Styela clava: one gene and its partner. The protein of the gene in region 1 binds, or shares a complex with, the protein of each later gene. Links are inferred from orthologs where the notes say so. Each region holds a gene or a part of one and is shown in the gene's direction. Other genes may lie near its edges.

The links.
Region 2: phosphatidylinositol N-acetylglucosaminyltransferase subunit C-like (region 1) and phosphatidylinositol N-acetylglucosaminyltransferase subunit P-like share a complex: the UniProt entries of both Homo sapiens proteins name them as parts of the glycosylphosphatidylinositol-N-acetylglucosaminyltransferase (GPI-GnT) complex. The link is inferred for Styela clava from reciprocal best matches to the Homo sapiens genes PIGC and PIGP.

The regions. Positions count from the first base shown.
Region 1 is NC_135250.1:6,445,616-6,455,048, forward strand, and holds phosphatidylinositol N-acetylglucosaminyltransferase subunit C-like, read left to right. Parts: upstream 1-6,528; 5' UTR 6,529-6,628; coding exon 6,629-7,522; 3' UTR 7,523-7,999; downstream 8,000-9,433. Other genes in the region: uncharacterized protein LOC120345471, read left to right, coding at 269-572; eukaryotic translation initiation factor 2 subunit 1-like, read left to right, coding at 8,021-8,258, 8,565-8,644, 9,081-9,241. UniProt on the Homo sapiens protein: Part of the glycosylphosphatidylinositol-N-acetylglucosaminyltransferase (GPI-GnT) complex that catalyzes the transfer of N-acetylglucosamine from UDP-N-acetylglucosamine to phosphatidylinositol and participates in the first step of GPI biosynthesis.
Region 2 is NC_135253.1:15,185,335-15,195,853, reverse strand, and holds phosphatidylinositol N-acetylglucosaminyltransferase subunit P-like, read left to right. Parts: upstream 1-5,892; coding exon 5,893-5,974; intron 5,975-6,748; coding exon 6,749-6,821; intron 6,822-7,459; coding exon 7,460-7,572; intron 7,573-8,034; coding exon 8,035-8,162; intron 8,163-8,540; coding exon 8,541-8,558; downstream 8,559-10,519. Other genes in the region: cytosolic endo-beta-N-acetylglucosaminidase-like, read left to right, coding at 8,632-8,897, 9,776-9,970. UniProt on the Homo sapiens protein: Part of the glycosylphosphatidylinositol-N-acetylglucosaminyltransferase (GPI-GnT) complex that catalyzes the transfer of N-acetylglucosamine from UDP-N-acetylglucosamine to phosphatidylinositol and participates in the first step of GPI biosynthesis.

The DNA.
Region 1 (9,433 bases):
GTCTTCGCCAACTTATACTTTCCTTCGATACAGTGATAGTTTACATGAGACAACTAGACAAGACAACGATGATTTATGGAGATAAAATGAAATTTTACTTTCAGATTGAAATTATTCAAACATATCCAAGTATTCGACAGACTAACATACCTGATTGATAATTCAAACATATTCAAGTATTCGACAGACGTAGACGTATCATAGATATTTCGACGTAGTTATCAGCTGATAAGTTTTCAACTCACAGAGTGTTTATTTTTCCATCCAGTGCTCGTCTTTCCAGGCCAGTTCCCGGGACTGCTACAGAACTCACGCCGACCGTGGGACGACCCCGCAGTATGAGAGTTTCGTTCGCAGATGAGAGAGAACAAGAGGGTCGGAGATCAGCAGTTTCAAACTCAAAACACCGCCCCAGTCTTCCAGATAGTCCGGAAGAGACAGACGACGATGTATTTTTTGTTGACAGTTCCACAAATAAAGGCAAAGTCACCAGGCCCGTTCACCTGCCAAGTGAATCAAACAGCGTATTACGTAATGAAACTGGGCGAAGAAAGAGAACGGGGTCCAGATAACAGCCGCATTACACTGTTCAGTTTACTAGAAGTAAATTAACAGTTTTCAAGATATTAACCCGCAACACAACTTGTTACCTATGGTGCAGAGGTTTCGATTATAATAATACTTCCAGAGTATGATTACACGTTCACAAAGTCGAGAGTTAACATTTGTATCTTTCGTAAACGATGGAAAACTGTCTAATTTTATATTTGAAAAATGTTGCATAAATGAATAAACTCGTTGAAACGTACATATGTTGTCACAATACTCACTTAGCGGACTTGGGTGAAAGTATAACTCGGGAACCCAATTCACAAAAAATACGGAATATTACCTAAAACAATTTATGAGAGAGAAGGGGAAGAGCAGAGGCGTATCCAGAAATTTTCAAAAGGGGGGGGGGGGGGTGATTCTAAAATTTCTATTTGCCAAGTTAGATCGAAACAGCCAGCGAGTCCGGACAAAATCCGGAAAACACGTGTTTTCATGAAGCTTGAGGATCTAAAAATTGCTATGTATTATTAAGAGAGATGCTTTTATTTATTTTTACATTTAAAAAAAGGAGGGGGGAGGATCTGCGAATAAAGAGAGGGACATATGGTTTATCCTGTTTATCATAGTCAAGTTTATTTTTATCAGCTATAGGCCGCGAGCCGAGGCCATTTATCTTTCAGTTTCGTAGCGCACATCAGGTAACTACCTGAAAATGATTTTAAAATGTTCCTTAGAAATTTAGTAACAAATATTGCCTTGTTCCCACTTCCAAAAGTTGCACGTTTTACAGAAAAGACGCTTTTACTACAATAAATATGTGTTACCATCTGTCCTATTTTCTCTGCTTTTCCGGTATCATGGGCCAATGAACGCAGACTTATGCACGACGTAACAGTCAAGTTAGTCAGCTGTAGGTGGATCCCCAGTGGTCGGATGAATATCAGATGTACTCAACTGCTCGCTTTTGCGTTGAGTAGCCTTTCCATAGTTTTTTTCAGTTACCGGTAATATTAGTCCAGTTATTCTGGTAAGATGAATTGCTGGATAATACTGGATGATGTTTACAAATATATTTGTTTATTATATGTAACTATGTTCTATGATTATTATTTTTTCATCATTTATTTATTTTTACAAAACTGTTATGAATCCACAACGTGGACCTTTAAAAAAAAAAAAAAAAAGAAAAGTATAGGTAAGATATTAAACACTTGTATATCCTTGCCATAAATAGCAATTTTAGTTGAGCACTAGCTCATAAGACGTTGTTAAATAGGTACGGTGCGGTAACTCCAAGGAAGGCTAGACCTAGAATAATATGTCACAAACAACGATATTTTCTGGCTTGCATGAAATGTTTATGATTAATTTAATGACTCTTCTTGACTATTCAGCAGACTTATATTACTATATAGGCCACAGCATATTTGGAAATAGAAATGAATGGCTGTTTCTGTAATGCACGGTTGTGTGAAAGAGAAGAAATTAATCAATTTTACTAATGTCGGTTGGTCTAAATCTAAATTCATTGAGTCGACAAGAACCTGGGAAGCAATGATAAGTTATGCTGGAGTGGAAAGAAAGGTAGCATTGGAAATGATTGAGAGGTGAGAAATGAAGTTGTAGACAAACAGTTGATGTTTCAAAATATACCGTAGTCTATAGTCCATACTCATACTGTCAAAGGACATTTCAGACTGTGATATATCAAAATCTAGTGTAGATATAGTCTAGTAATGGTATGCAAACACTGCTGGACTGTAGAACATGCAATGAGCATATATACGCTCATTTAGTACATCAGATAAAATGCATTATGTATTCAAGGTATTAGTTAGTATTTAGGGGTATTTTTAAAATCATGCTGCTCCAAATATTATTTTCTTCCTTATTTTAGATACTGTACTACAAAAGAAAACGGCAATGTTCCACCAATCCGACCTAACGCAGGCTCTGATCCCTGCTGCTATCAGTGCTATAAAATGGATTAAACAAGAAGTCTTGAAGCTTAAAGGTATATGAGAATCATAATAGTTGCAAACAGCTTAGATGGGCTATTCATATTGAAATACTTTAGCACTTTTCTGCAATTGGAATTGCCCATCAAATTCATGTTGGAGACTTCATTGAGATTTTCAATTCATTTTTTTCCCTCGACTATGAAGATCTTTTGAGGTTAACGAGGTATTAATAAATAAAGCTGAGGAATTTGAAGAGGATATGAAGAATGTAAATGATACCAGGGCACGTCTATTTAACACTGTCAAACATAAGGATTATACTCTCCACCCAACAATGATTCACTGAAGAAGCATGTGGCCCTCAAATCAGTTCTTGAGTTGGCAAACTGCAAAGAAAAATAGTCAAAATAATTTATGAAAGTGTGCCAAAATCAACTTAAATTGCACAGATTTTTGTTTTTGTATTGACTGCAGAAATCACAGTACACCTATAGAGGAAAAGTCGATTTTTGAGATAGTGGATTTCGAAAACAATTCAGAAGAAAGTGAATTAGATATTACAGTTGATTTAATAAGTATCATACATTTGTTTTTTTTTTCGGACATTTGTTAGTGTCGTAGTCCTGTTTCTAGAAATATTATTGCCTTTGTTCAAATACATAACCACATAAACTAAAAAAAGATTAATTGTAAATTGTAATATTTCTGTTCACTATGTTATGTACATATTGTACATTCATTTAATTTTCTTGACTTTTGCGGTAAATTTCTAAGTGAGAAATAACTGATTTATTTGTGTTTTCGTGCTCACGATGTTAATTTGTGACTTCATTGCTTAAAAATAAATACGTTTGATACTTGATAGCTTCTATAAAATGGATGTAGCTTTTTATGCTGTTCTTGTTGTAAACTGCTTGTGGTTATTACATAAAATTTATTCTCAAATGTGAATCAGCGTTGTTGGTGTCGCTGCTTTCGAGGTCACTCCCGACTCCTGTCACACAATTAAAGTATTTTTTGTTGTTGGTTACATGTATGCCATATTTTTCGTAATCTACCTAATAAATTATGATTGACTGAGGAAGTCCGATTTTGGTCAGGCAAAACATTACAGGAATACATTTGTGTTAGTGTGCTGTAGGGCTCTCGAATTGTATAGTTCTTATGTATGCGTTGTAAACTTATGGTTATTGAATTTCCGGGAACCTCTTATATTCAATTTCGCACCAGGATTGTGGAACAAGCTGTAATGCGTTCATTATGTTCGTTTTCACACAAAACTGAAGAATTTATTTAGTTACCAGATGTGCGCTACGAAACTCATTTTCTGGGCGTTTTCATGGTTTCGTCTCGCGGCCCATATCCGTGGTAAGGATCTACAAGTGTTTAATAATTTACTTATACATTTTTCAACAACGTCTTAGCATAACTTAACTAATAATAACTAAACAGGGCTATGGAAAGCCTGCCCAACTCAGCGCAAGGTCGAGCAGAAATAACTAATATTCATCCGCTCGCTAACAGCTGGTTTAATTCAATTGTTACGTCATGCAGAAGTCATTGTTCAGTGCCGAAAATGTAGAGAATATAGGACAGATCGTAGCGCATATTTCTTGTAGTAAAAGCGTCTTTTCCGTAAAACGTGCAACTTTTGGAAGTGGGAACAAGGCAATATTTGTTACTAAATTTTTAGGGAACATTTTAAAATCATTTTCAGGTAGTTACCTGATGTGCGCTACGAAACTCACTTTCTAGGCGTTTTTCAGGGCCTCGGCTCGCGGTCTACTAGTGATATAATCACAACAAAACTACGATAACAAAATAAACGCAAGGTTTTCCCGATGAAGGGGCGCCGCGTGGGACCGTTCCCGAATTTTGTGCAGCGACGTCCAAAGTTCCAATATCTAATTTAGATTCAACAGGAATTTTTTGTTATCAGAGTACTGATATTGAACACAAAGTGCGACTTTGGACCATTTCGCTAAATATTCGATGCTGCTGTTAACACGTGCAGGAGGTGACTGGTCTTATTGAAGCGAGTGAAACCAAAACAACTGGTTAATATAAGCAGGGCCGGATCATGCCGCTTAGGAGCCCCAGGCACTTAATACTTTGGGCCCTATTTATATAAAATGATAATAATGAAAACTAGTGTTCCATGTTTTCTGAATATGTTTCAGTATTCACTACCACGGTACTAATTAAAGCTAAGTTATGATTAATCTACATGGTATTTTTTGAAAATAATTCTCTTGCCTACAAACATTTATAGAGAGGTGTAAGCTGGTACTTGAAAAAGAGAAAATAATCAAGTTATTAAACCGAGACAATATTGAGGTCTGAATCGTCTTACCAACTCGAATTACATTAAACACTGAGATAGCCAGTTCGTGAAAACTTCTGTGGTGCATCCTTTCTCGTGGTGACCTTATTTTGATCAATGTTTAGTCCAACCCTGAATATAGGTAAACAGACATAGCCGTACAGTACTTGCAAGATCTAGATACATAGGCGTAGTTAGTGGAATACTGCAAGCAACCAACAGTTGCGCGAACTACACGGAAAATATTTGATTGAGATCTACAGGTTTCAAAATGTAACCGTACTGCCGTAAATAGCTGATCACAAATAACACTTCATTATCGCTGTCGAATTCAAAATCCAATTTTTACATGTGATATGTCGATTAACAATTTATTTGAGCACATCTCTCGATCTTTGCTCAAACGTTCTCATCATACAACTTCTTGGGGACACTCAAATTTCAGACGGCATTTCGACAGCAAGAGGGGAACGCAGCATCTCGCCGCAGTATGGTTACCAGCATGTCGTGCTCGGAGTTGTTTTCTTATAGTACAACGAGTGGAAATGTCAGGTCGCATGAAAATCCATTTTTATTTCCCAACTTAGATTAGACTTTTTTAAAGGTGTTGCTGCTCGATGATACGACTGGTTTATTGCACTCCCCTGCACCACGAAACGACATTTTTAGTTTATTCTATAATCTGTAGGCGCAAATATTCAGTAAATGGTCAAATAAATTGTTTACTACTAATTATCATTTTTTTGTCGTAGGTACACAAATTTGCAAAAGAGCATTTAAGTCTATGCTTCCAAAAATAAACTAGCTAACAAGTTCCATACTCGACATGGATTGGTAACCGGACGAGAGGCCGTGGTCCGCCATATGATTGAGCCGTCTTATCGGCTCTCCTCTTCCCCAGGATAAATATGTAAATCCTATCCTTTCCAGTGATGGGGTGCCAAACAGAAAAAAAGGATGAAATCCAGAGGAAGAAGAAATTTGACGAGTCAGCGTTAACATAACCCAAATCGGGAATAGGAAGAGTTCATCAGGTAATTGATTTGAGCGTATTTGAATGGCGCGAAGCCTTAACCACTTGCGAGGGTGAGAAGTCTGGCAATCCCCTCGCGCATAATTATGACGATTGGGTTTGTAATGCGATGACAATTGTGTTTCTTTGCGGTAACCGCCAGACCCAAAAAAGTTGACGGATTTTTTTGTCAAAAGATTTGGGTGTCGCTTACGGTGTAAATAAGAAGCGATCGCCGGATCCGGATCTCGAGCATCATTCACCCCTAACATGTGTGGACTGTAGAGTTTTTGGTGTTTCGTGTTGGTGTTTGCGCCATCGCCCATCATGGTGAACCATCATAGAGCAAATTCGCTCAACTTTGTGGTTAGTCTGTGCCGCTGTATGACTAAACGAGTTCTATTTGTTTTAATCAACCGTTTTATCGCCGTTTATGCTGAGTATGGAGTTGAAATAAACTTATCTTATCGTCCACCATGTACGGTACCGGTATCTGAAACTGTAGAACAAATACCGGTACCTACCGTACCGGCTAACTAATCCATACCTACTGGTACCGGTACCGTCAGACCGTACGATACGATATTTTGTTTGTAATGGCCCGCCACTGGGCTATAAACAGATAAAAGAACAGGTTCCTCAGATAAATTTGTTCATAGATTGTCTTGTATGTGCTTATTATTACAGTACCGGTATTGAGCCATTGTTATTATAAATTTCAGTTTTAACCTATTCATAGAGTAATATTGATTTTGGCTGTTGATATAAGCGTGTTCAAGAATGACAACTAATCGCAAAAAATGGAGAAAAGTATTGTACGAAGTTCAAAATGTTCCAGACAATTATGTGGATGAGTCTTTCCTCACGGAAATGCGAAAGAACATCTACATCAGAAAATATGAATATTGGGATCTCGTTCGTCAAATTGAAGTCATTACTCAACAACTTTGTACAGTCAGCTGTTTAATCGTTAGCTGGTGGTTACTCGATGAAGGCCTATATACTCCATATACTATGTTAAAATGGCTGATGCCTGTTTCAGTAATAGGCTTCTGCGTGTATTTATATTTAACAACGAGCCAGGGTGAGAGATGGAAAGCGTTATTTAGTAATGCTAAAACAGCAGTTGTTGTATTGTGTTTAACTGATTTTTTATCTCCGATATTAAAAACGTTGACGCACACTATTAGTACTGATACGATATATGCAATGAGTGTTCTAATGATTTTAGGACATTTACTGTTTCATGACTATGGGTCTGATGCTGCGCCAATTTCTAGAGCTGTATCGTTAAATATGTCATTGTTTTCGTCAGTATGTCTTGCGTCTCGATTGGATTCTTCGGAGCATGTATTCGCTATTGTTATTTTAGCGTTATTTCTTTTTGGATTTTGGCCCATGTTACAAAGAACATTAAGGCGTGAAACTCCGTGGTTTATGGATCCCTTTACTGTTTTATTGAGTATAGCAACGTTTTTGTTACTACTTTTTATTCATTTGTATATAAGTCTCTTATTTCTACTTCTAATTGTTTTTGTTAATTTCATCTGTCCTCTATTGTTGATGTCTCTTCAAATTCATAAAAATAATATTTATGGACCTTGGGATGAAGCAGTAATTGACCCGGATAGTCCTCGGATATTTACGGAAAAGAAATCATTCAAAAAAGAATAGTTTGTCAGCTTCTTATTCTGTGATATTATAATTTTTGTTTTTTAAATATTTATTGAAATGAATTTGGTTGAAAAAGTTTCATTCAGAAAATTTTATCGATGTATAGTTTTTGATTGTACAAACTGTTTATGTATCGATTGTTCGAAAAGAAGTGTCACGTCTCTTTAATTAAGAATTGTTTCAAATGTGAAGATATGTTTATATTGTTCGGTTCATAGATTCCATTTGTATGTCTATATGCAAAAGAATTACTGTAGACATATTTGTTGTTTTTTCCAGGTTGCGTCACATAACCACTGACTTAGCTCTAGTCTGTTGAACAGACAAAAGGCCACAGTTTGCCATATGATTTGAGTCCCTGGGATAAATATGAAAAAGTGTATCATATGCTTGACTATTGGTTAATCTATATAAGAGAATTTTATTCAAGTTTTATGTTTTTAATTGTTTTTATTTGAATTGTATATTTTTATATAGTTGTTAGCAAATTAACTCAAAATGCCGATCTCGTGTCGATATTATAAGGATAAGTTTCCGGAGGTTGAAGATGTTGTCATGGTGAATGTTCGATCCATCGCAGAGATGGGAGCTTACGTTAAATTGCTTGAATACAATAACATTGAAGGAATGATATTGCTTAGTGAATTGTCGAGACGTCGTATTCGATCTATCAATAAGTTGATTCGTGTCGGTCGTGATGAATGTGTCGTTGTTATAAGAGTAGATAAAGAAAAAGGTAGGGAGTTTCGTGCGATTGTTAATAAATAAGATTCAATGAAATTTATGTATTTGCAAATTTCAATATCCGATTCAAAACGAAATAGGCGAAAATGTGTTCTTTTTGTTGTTTATCGTCTTATAGTACTGACATTTTGATTATCAACTTTTGTGTCTTATAGATAGAAAAGTTATATTTTTGAAGATCACGATTTGTCATAGTATTTAACAAAAATTGCTGGATTAGCATTATTGCAATGCTATTGTTGCCTTTTTATCTTTTGATATATTGTGATTATTTTATAATAATTTGCTACTTTTTCAGGTTACATTGATTTATCAAAAAGAAGAGTTTCACAAGAAGAAGCAAAAAAATGTGAAAATAAGTATTCAAAAGCAAAATGTGTAAGTAGTGTTTCAGTGTTAATTCTGTAGCAGGAATATTGTTATTCAATAATTTAACGCTCACTAGGATTTACTTACTACTCTTACGGCATGTTAATTAAGAGGTATACAGCGATATTTGTTGATATACTAGATGTCTAGTATTTTCATCTAGTTTAGAATTTATGTTTGGTCATGCTAGGTATAAGAAAGTATTCATATTGCGGTCTTCATTATATATTTTGAATCATCATTATATATTCCATGATCTGGTGGATTTCTGAATTTTATCGATGTCTTTTGGGAAATAAGGCATCAACTTTATTTCATATGCTTGTAAGTTGAAACTATATGTGAAACAACATTTTGACCAGAGCTAGTGCTCAACTTATCAAACTTTTTTAGTAAATTTTGAAACATGTAATGAAAGCAAAAAAATAAAAATTTTTTAATACAGGTTTACAGCATTCTTCGTCATACTGCTGAACTTCTAGGTTTTCAGACAGATGAAGATTTTGAAGATTTATTTGACCGAACAGCCTGGGCGTTGGATACAAAATATAAGAGACCAACTGAAAAATATCCTGCTTCATATGATCTATTTAAGAGAGCTATAGAGTAAATGCCAATCTTTTTGCATAATTGTACCTATGTACCTCTCTATGTGTAATTGATTTCTGTGAAATTTTGCATTTGTGCCACGAAAAGTTCGGATTATCAATCTGAATCTTATAGAGCTTGTACCTTGCTCATGAAATTTCCAATACTCCCTCTTCAAGGCCACCACGATTGTCCATATTAGAATGGTTT
Region 2 (10,519 bases), on another chromosome or scaffold:
TACGATCAAATTTTATAATGGAATTGGAAGTTCGGGGCTTTTACTACAGTTAATTGACATGACATGTGTCTCGCTCGGACTAACGATAGGATCTACATATCTATCCCAGGAGAGAGATAATGGACCAGATGGTGGAGGAAGCTGTAACCGACCAGCAGTTACATGAGTTATGTGAACCACCCAACTGCGACGAGGAGTCCAGTAATCCTCTCGCACATAACCATGGGGTGACGAGCGTATTCCTAACAATCTCCACATTTACCCTGCGAACCTACACAGACTGACATAGTGTAAGTAATAAGAGGTGCGATGCCAAGCTTATTCCGCTCGCAGGCTTAGCATGATGAGCCACACCACGGCTAATTTGAGACAATTCAGCAATTAAATATATCAAATGGTTAGAATGCATATTAACTTTTTGCTTAGGTCTGCGGAGTTCACTCAAACAGTCAAATGGCTTTAGCAGTTTCACTTTTTAGTTTATCGCTTGCTCCACACAATGCTGCAATGTTACCAGTACCAATTTGACATACCGTGTTCGTGCCTACATCTTGCCACACAATAATTCCACCGCAAAGGCATACCGGTACCGTAGTCCAATGATACGGTACCGTACCGGTAGTCTACCGTTACCATATTAATTAAAAGTCCAAGTCTTGGTACGGTACCGGTCTGTCCTTGTAATTACCACCAAAACAATTGCCAGAGTAGCCTAATTTGAACCAGAAGAATGTTAAATCTCTTATTTTCTGTCTACTGCCATTCTCTACGCTGCCCATGCCGCCAAGGACTGGATTAGCATTAACAGATTAATGATGTACCGGTAATGGGCCACATACCGGTACCGGTACCGTACTCACTACGGTACATACCGTACCTATTACTGTATTACCGTATCCTGGCATATGCAGGTACATTCAGGCTACATGCTAAACTTAAGAACCTTAAAATGTTCGTACGGTACCGATGTACGGTACGGTAACACTGACACCATGCCCTTCACTTTCTCAAACGTCGCCATCCCTAGTCTGCTCCACAATTCGACCGCATTTTGCCATCCCTAATCTGCCACTACGCTTCGACCGCATTTTGCCATCCCTAATCTGCCACCACGCTTCGACCGCATTTTGCCATCCCTAATCTGCCACCATTCGACCGCATTTCGCCATCCCTAATCTGCCACGCTTCGACCGCATTTTGCCATCCCCAATTTGACTTTTCGTCCCTATTTCGCCATCCCTAATCTGCCACCTTTCGACCGTATTTCGCCATCCCTATTCTGCCATCCCCAATATGACTTTTATGCTACCACCACTATAGCATATCGCCAATGTGAACAGCAACTAACCAACCGACTACGTGTAAGCAAAAATACGGTACGTTTCCGCAGTGTTCCCAAAGGAAATATTGATGAGATTTGATCCCCTGTCGCATAGCGTGACTTGTCACGGCCTAATTAATTTTTACGATAGGCACACTAATATTTTGCTGAGTGGGATTTTACAGCAAACTTTGTGGGACAACACTAAAAGGCTGAAGAAAGAAACGGACGAAGTGGCGGAAAAACGGAAGTTGAAGTGTTCCCAAAGGTGAAAAATTGAAAAACACTAAAAGGCTGAACACTAAAACGAAGAAGTGGAAGAAATTTCTTCCGAGGTGGCTGAAGTCACTAAAAAGCTGAACACTAAAAGGAAGAAGTGGATGAAATTTCCTCCGACGGATAGTGAAGAAAATTTAATATATTAGTTTAATATTTATGAGACAATGTCCTCGTGGATTCGTTTTATGTTAATTTTTTATATGGTATTCTCAGTTCGAGCCTGGCGAATATTGAAGGCCATGACATTCTCGTTATATTGTTTTTAATTTTGATGTAATGTGCAAGCAAATTGCTATATATATATACTCATTTCTAGCTGTTACTGCCGTATAATGAATTTGTTGCGCCACAATGGGTGGGTTACGGCGAGGCATATTTTGCAAATAGATATCTTGTTTTTCAAGACGCGTGAAGCTGATTTTGTTATCAAATCAATTTTTCCAGTCAACAAACCTTGTAATTCATAATATGTTTGTGGCCCACCTCAAAATGGCTCTGAGGCTTACCAGTTGGCCATGGCACATTGGTTAAGAACCAGTGGTCTAACAGGACTTCAATTTGACTAATACATCATTATTTCAAGTCTTCGTGCGTGAACTGCTTGCAAAATTTTAAAAATAGATATTAAGTTTAAGGAATGAAATACGGAATCAAAAATTAATTATATTCGGGCACAATACCACGGCAATCTATGTACATAGATGTGTGGTCAACTGCGCGATTGTTATTTATTTTTTTATTCCTATTTTCGTATATACAAAATACAACGGCGATCCATGGACTTAAAAATGTGTGGTAAACTGCCCGATTATAATTAATTCTTGATTCATATTTTCGTATTTATAAAATAATAAAAGATATATATGCGGACATTGAAGTGCCCGAATATAATTAATTTTTCATTCGTGTTTACGTACTCACGAAAAAATTGTCGCCAATCAGAAATATAATTTATACTTTATCCCGCTTTTTGGCAAATAATTTGGATAATAGTTGGTATTCAAACTTTTACTAGGATGATTTTGTGTTGCGCAAAATGTTCAAATCCATGACCGATAGCACTATTTTAAATGCTTGCCGTATTAATTTAATTCTGATAACGTAACTCATGGTATATGAAAATATATAGCAGTAATCTGCAAACATGAAATGCATGGTAGACAACGTGCTGTTGATGACAGTTATTCCATTGTTTATTGTATGCAAATTCCTTTATATAGGCTACTATAGATAAGCCTCAATTACTTTATTTTATTTTCGAATGTATTCGAAATAGTGAACTATTCGGTATTGACCAACCATCCCCTTAGGACTGAAGCAATTTGATGCAACTCAATTGTGAAAATAAGCGCAGGAAACAATTCTATTGTACCATCTTAAACAGTGCTGCAACAGTAACAGCATTGGTTCCCGCAGTCCCACCCCAGAATATGTGACTGTGGTATTTCACTTATTGTTATATTAAATTAAGGCTGGACTCATTACAGATTTTTCATCTCTAAAATATTAGTACAATAATTTGTGACTCTGGGTTATACATAAAGGAAAACTTTGTACACACAGATCTCTGTCATCTCTGTGATATATGGGCTCATTATTGCGATAGAGCTTGCTAAACAAGGAGATACCGAGCATATATTCATGCTAGCAGCATAGTGTAATAAGACAAAGACAGTTTAATTGCATCGGGATTACTATAAATAAGAAATGCTTTCAGGAATTTGCTCGAACACAAAAAAGTAATTAAACCATTTAAAATAAACCTCCAACCGTAAACCTCCAACCGAAAACTGTTCTACCACGTGTTCCCTCATTTCGTTTACCGCTACTCAAATGGAGGTACAACAAATGGGAATAAAATAGCATAAATATAAATGTCAGGATAAAAAAACATGATCGTCAATTACATGCCCGGCGAATGAACTTGTTCAGTAATAGTTCTCTTCAAATATATACGCGAAATATTTCACTCTCAACGGAGTTTAAATTAAATTTCAATCAAAATTAAATGTTTTCTAGAAGTCGGTATCTGATCGTTTATCAATTCATGTCAAGGCGTACCATAACTTAGTCGCAGAGAAGGTGTGCTGTTGCAAATTATTAACAAAATCGCAACGAAATTTCGGGTATACGATCCATTTAAATTTGCGTGTGATAGAAACTTAGGTCATTCAGTGGAAAACTCAACTGAGAGATTGAAGGAAATTAATTACCCACACAGCACGTCAGCATCTCGAGTGATGATCAGGGTGTGTTGCGCTGAACTTGAAAATGAACGAAGGCAGATCAATAGAAGTAAATAACGAAAAATTCATTTACATTCCCGTCTGGCAATTGGTGTTATTTGGAGTGTTTGTTCTTCTTCGCTAAACGGCTCTCTTTCTTTCGAATCGCGTAAATCGGATTCGAAATGAATTGCGATTTGAATCGATTCAATTCATAAATCTAAAAGTGGCATGCCTACTCATCAGTCCGCTTTCAGGGTCTTCATCCAATCTCACTTCCGTCGGGATATGTTTTGGCTATTTAACTCTACTAATGTTCGGTATTTTAGTGACTTCAACCGCCTCAAAATCGATAGGACAAAATATCATCTACCGTAGCCTACTTCTTCCGTTTAGTGTTTAGCTTTTTAGTGACCTCAGCCACCTCACCACCTGTCGAAAGAAATTCCATCCACTTCTTCCTGTTAGTGTTCAGCTTTTCAGTGACCTTCGCCACCTCATTATTCGTCGAAAGAAATTTCATCCACTTCTTCCTTTTAGTGTTCATGTTTTTAGTGACTTCAACCATCTCATTATTCTTCGGAAGAAATTTCATCCACTTCTTCTTTTTAGTGTTCATCTTGTTAGTGACTTCAACCACCTCATTATTCGTCGGAAGAGTCGTTGGTCGGAAGAAATGTCATCCACTTCTTCCTTTTAGTGTTCAGCTTTTTAGTGACTTCAACCACCTCATTATTCGTCGGAAGAAATTTCAACCATTTCTTCCTTTTAGTGTTCAGCTTTTTAGTAACTTCAACCACCTCATTATTCGTCGGAGGAAATTTCAACCACCTCTTCCTTTCAGTATTCATCTTTTTAGTGACTTCAACCGCTTCATTATTCGTCGGGAGAAATTTCATCCACTTCTTCCTTTTAGTTTTCATCATTTTAGTGACTTCAACCACCTCATTATCCGTCGGAAGAAATTTCATCCACTTCTTCCTGTTAGTGTTCAGCTTTTCAGTGACCTCCGCCACCTCATTATTCGTCGAAAGAAATTTCATCCACTTCTTCTGGCAACCATTACAAAAATATCAATATGGTGTGGCAGATAATTTTTTTTTTCTTTTCTAGTATTTATTTATTTTTTATTTTTTGTTTACTGTATAGTATACCCTAAATTTATCGCGTTTTATTCTTACTTAAATAACTTCTCACTGGTTGTGTGTGTGTGTGGCTGGTGGGTGCATGTGAGCGTGTGTGAAATAACTTAATAATTTTAGGTGATTAAACACGTACCACTTCCTCTTGGCAAAACCTTCCATCTTATATTTTGTACGTTATAAACCTTATCTAAGGTTTTGTTTGCTCCCCTGATTTCATAATCAGTTTTTATTTATTTGTTTTTATCTGTCAAATGTATTGTTATGCTGATTATGGAGTCGAAATAAACTTATACTTATATTCTTCCTTTCAGTGTTCATGTTTTTAGTGACTTCAACCACCTCATTATTCGTCGAAAGAAATTTCATCCACTTCTTCCTTTTAGTGTTCATGTTTTTAGTGACTTCAACCATCTCATCATTCGTCGGAAAAAATTTCATCCACTTCTTCCTTTTAGTGTTCAGCTTTTTAGTGACTTCAACCACCTCATTATTCGTCGGAAGAAATTTCAACCATTTCTTCCTTTCAGTGTTCATCATTTTAGTGACTTCAACCGCTTCATTATTCGTCGGAAGAAATTTCATCCACTTCTTCCTTTTAGTGTTCATCATTTTAGTGACTTCAACCACCTCATTATCCGTCGGAAGAAATTTCATCCACTTCTTCCTTTTAGTGTTCAGCTTTGCTTTTTAGTGACTTCAGACACCTCACCACCCGTCGGAAGAAATTTCATCCACTTCCTCCTTTTAGTGTTCAGCCTTTTAGTGTTTGGGAACACCTCAACTTCCGTTTTTCCTCCACCTCATCCGTTTCTTCTTTCAGCCTTTTAGTGTTGTCCAACTTTGTGTAGTATTTATTATTAATTACATATATTGCTGCCGTCGTCGGTTTTTAGGTGCTTTTGCCTCTTTTATTTATCAGTTCATGCCTCAACCAAGCCCAGGTCCATCTCCGGAGAGAGCGGCGTATGGATTTGTCCTTTATCTAGCAAGCTACATTTTATTCGGTGAGTGAGTCAGAGTTATTTTTCAGTCCTGAGATTGCATAACTGCTGAACTGGAAAGGGTGATCAAAAGAGATGTAAACAAAAATATTTGAATCAGTGAATGAGCATTGCTAATTTAAAAAACCTAGTGCTTCTTTGTATCATGTACCGGTATTACGATATTGAAGGTTGCTAAATGACAATACAATTTTCATGTCTGAGGATTTTATAGTGTATTCTTAATAGCCACAGTTTGTTTTCTTGGTTGGGCAAATGTAATAATCTGACTGTAATAATCTGACTTCCCACAATATTCACATGTGTATGGTTTTAATGTAGTATTGTTTCTAGTATGAGATTTTATATATGTGATTTATGTAATGGACGCTTTCCACATTTCTTAAAGTGTAACGCTCATCTTTACAAGTATTTGGGAAATACTATGACAATTAAAAGCAATTCTCTCCAGATGTCTGTTCAGTATGAATTTGAAAATGTCTTTCATTTCCATAGGATTTGCCTTTTGCTCTCCTCTCTTACGCCAATACAGTAATTGGCTTAAGACTTTTTTCTAACAATGTCTCATATATCTGTATATGCTAATTTAAAGAAATAATTTAGCAAAGGCCCCTTGACATTTCATATATCTGTGTGGTTTTTCAAAGATATGAACTGCTAGCTTTTGAATCTCTAATGAGCAAATGACCATCGTTTACTTGGTTGTTGTTTTTTGTCCATGTTATCAAGTGAATATACCACAAAGAAATAATAATGACAATGATGTATATTTTTCAGCACTGTTTGTGATATGGGCATATGTTCCTGATGAAGTCCTTCACAGTATTGGCCTAACTTATCTTCCTACCAAGTAAGGATGAAAATTAAAATATATTTGCTCATTAAACTTTTTAAAATGTAGGAAGTCAAAACAAGTCTTTATGAAAATACTTTGAACCTAGTAACATCTCGCTTGTGACTCATTCCTATATTTCATGTTGTGATCAACCTGTTTTTTTGTAGTTGTAGCTGAGGAGAAAGTTTGAATGTGTATGTCCTAAAATCAAACCTTTTGTACGGAGCAGGTTGTTCAAATGTTAATTGGGAACATGTATCCATCCCTCTTTTTGAGTTGTCATTATGTAGTATAAGCTAAGTATAGTTAGACTCTGGTTCATCTAATTGCCAGGCGCTGAAAATAGATGTATAAGTTTATACTGCTGTTTTTAGGATTTCTTTGGCCTGGGAAGATATGATACTTGTATAATTCGTATTATGTTATTTTTCTCTCATAGTTATACACAAATTTTAAAAATATATGCGAGTACAAAAATGCTTTTTGTATAAGAATTTTTGATCAGGACCATCAAAATATAAAAAAAAGTACTCTATATGGTACTCGGATGATGCATAGAGTCATTTTGAGATAGATGAACATAATAATATGCAATATTGCCCAATGCATTTATTCATTCTTCTTATTGATTTATTACAACCCGATTTTTTCAGAGCTTGGGCAATAGTATTACCAATCCTTGGTTGCATCGGTGCAGTGTCTATTCCTGTTGTATATTTCATCATCAACATACTTCATACTCAAGCATTGGAAGAAGAAATTGAAAGTAAATATTATTTTACCTGTTTTCTGACTTATATTTCCAAGAATAGCTTTAGAAAAATAATCTGGTTTTAGTGGTTTATAGAAATTGAAGCTTAACATTATCCCGATATATATTGTTTTAATGTTTGATTGTATTTTAATACTCTTATTTATTATTAGTTATCATTTTATAGGTAAAATTAGAAGACTGATCGACCTGTTTTTTTTTTCAAATTAGTCATAGCTTGAATGTTTCATTCGATAAACACTATCTTATATTGATTAGTTTGTCATATCATGATTGCCTAGTGCAACAAGCAATACAGCATGATTTAAATCATGATTTGGTTTAACGTTTAGAAAGTATTCGAATATAGGAAACTTGTTTTAGTAATCCATTTTAATTTTTTCATCAATTTTAATAAATTGTTTGATATATTGTAATATTTTTATATTTATGTATATTCATTTTTATTTATTCTAGTACACTCTAAATCAAATATCCCAGAACCAACAATACAAAACTTTGACTTGAGTTCAGGATCTGTTCCACCAATTGTTGAACTGGATCTGGCAACTGTTTGTCGCCATTTGAATCTAGGCAAGGATAAAGTAAGATGGGATTGTTTTGTTTTACTCAGCATTTTTAGTTTAGAAATCATGTCTTATTTTATACTTCTTAAACAAGGTTTCTGTACTTGAATGCTGCATCATATCAAAGGAATAAAGTGTGTCGAAATAGGCAAAAATGGAATGCATTGAAAAGGGTTGTTTTAAGTAGTTCAATTTCCAAATTTCATCACTGATCTTGTCTGGCAGATCAGAAGAAATATGTATTTTATTGTTAAAGAATACACCACAAAAACTTTATGATTTTTGCCAAATACTTCTTCTTATAATGTTATTACAAGCTTCTGGAATTGCTGTGTACACTTGGTCAACAAAAGTAAATCCATGCATTTACTAGGTTTCTTCTTCTACTGTATTCAGCTGTCACCAGCTAGTTAAAGAAATAATATCAGCCACGCAAGTGTAAAACAATTTTTTCATTTTGTTTTTCCTAGAAAAATAATTGAAAATTATGAGTGAATCTAAAGAAGTGAAGTTACTGAATGTTGATTTTGAAAAGCCTTCTCAATTTACTGGTAGAAGTGTGGAGGATGGTTTACCAGTTTCAGTTCCTTTGCATGATTTGGAAGATTTACTTTCATGGAAACCTGACGATGCAGAAGATAGTGGGCAGATATTCTCTGTAGCTACAGTTCCTTATCTTGGGAAAAATATTCCAACTGGATCAACAAAAACCCTTGTATGTCATGACATGGCTGGTGGATATTTGGATGACAGGTAGGCCTATATATATCATCGTTTCAACTTCATGTATCAAAAAAGTATATTCTAACAAATGTGACGCGCGGTGACCGTACATTTGAACCCATGCGTATATCCACGGGTTCAATCTATATGCGGGTGCTAAAACCCATGGGTTAGGGTTAGTATGGGTTTAACTAACCGTGAAACAAAAAAAATTCCATAGGTGCAATAGCATACAGGTGCAATTGTCATGGGTTCAAATGTACGTGGGTTCAAATGTAATGGAACTGTGACGCGCATACCTTACAGTTTTCCATAACTATTACCAGTAAATAAAATAATTAAAATATTGACACAAAAAAGATTGATGGCTATTTTAAGTTAAGTTTCGTTAAGTTGATGAAACGCATATTTTATCACATATGTATGCAATATGGATTGTTCTAATTTAAAATTAAACTTCTGAGAAATATGAATAGTCAGTTGTTAGTTACCATTTATAACAGCATTTTGCTGGGTCTTTTATTTCATTTGCCAACAGAATTCTGTAACTGACACTTTTTTACCTTGACAACAAAATATTGGCTGGTATCATATATTTATCTAACTGTGAGATTTTTCTTCACTGGTATTATTAACTATATATTCTCCGGCACTGAAATTGTACAGTTAAAGAATTTTTACTCAATGAGGTTTAGTTAATTTTCTCTCATTTACAATATATCTTCAGAGGTCATTGATAAAAGCCCTTTAGAATGATTTGCAATCGACTTAAATTTAATTCTAATACGTGATTGTTGTTGACTGACAAGTCAAATTGATGAAAAATGGCAGTCCATGGTCAATTTACAAGCATTCTTTCCATGTATGTTATCTATTCATCATTTTTATACTTTTTAATTTTGTTCTAGGTTCGTCCAAGGCAAAATCAGTACTGATGATAAATGGTATTACTTAGCATACTGGGATATTGTCGATACATTCGTTTATTTTAGTCACCATTTTGTAACTATTCCTCCTGTGGGATGGATCAACAGTGCTCATACTAATGGTGTTGCAGTTCTGGGTACTTTTATTGCTGAGAGTTTCAATGGATTTAGTAAAAGGTATGGCAGATTCAAATTTAGATAATTATTTTCACCATGCAAGAATCAAAGTAAAGTAATTAACGCACAAAACAAAAACTAACAGAAACAGAAAAACATTGATTCATAGCAATTGAGGAGGGGTCGCAACATCATCTAGTCAGCGATACCTGAATTCAAGCAGCAAATATAGCGAAGAAACAATTTTTCAAAAAATTAACTTCAAAAAACACAATCATGAAGAGAACAACAGATTAGAAGAACCTCTGTGATGATGCCACATTAGTGACATCTGGTAATTAGGATATGCCTCGATGAGTGCATTCACAGCAAAGTTTTGCTGACTCATATGACTAGGCAGAATATAAAAAATGATGCCGCTGTCCAGAAACAAGGGTTTTATGAAAGCGGTCGACCCCAACAAAATAGAACCCTTATTTAAATGGACATATTTTAAAAGTGCAGGTGGTTGCAGCGTTGCTTAGGATCAAATCCCATGGCCACCATCTCATCCACCCAGGGTGTTATAAATTGGGTAGACAATGCAATGCTTTCTCAATTAACATTGGC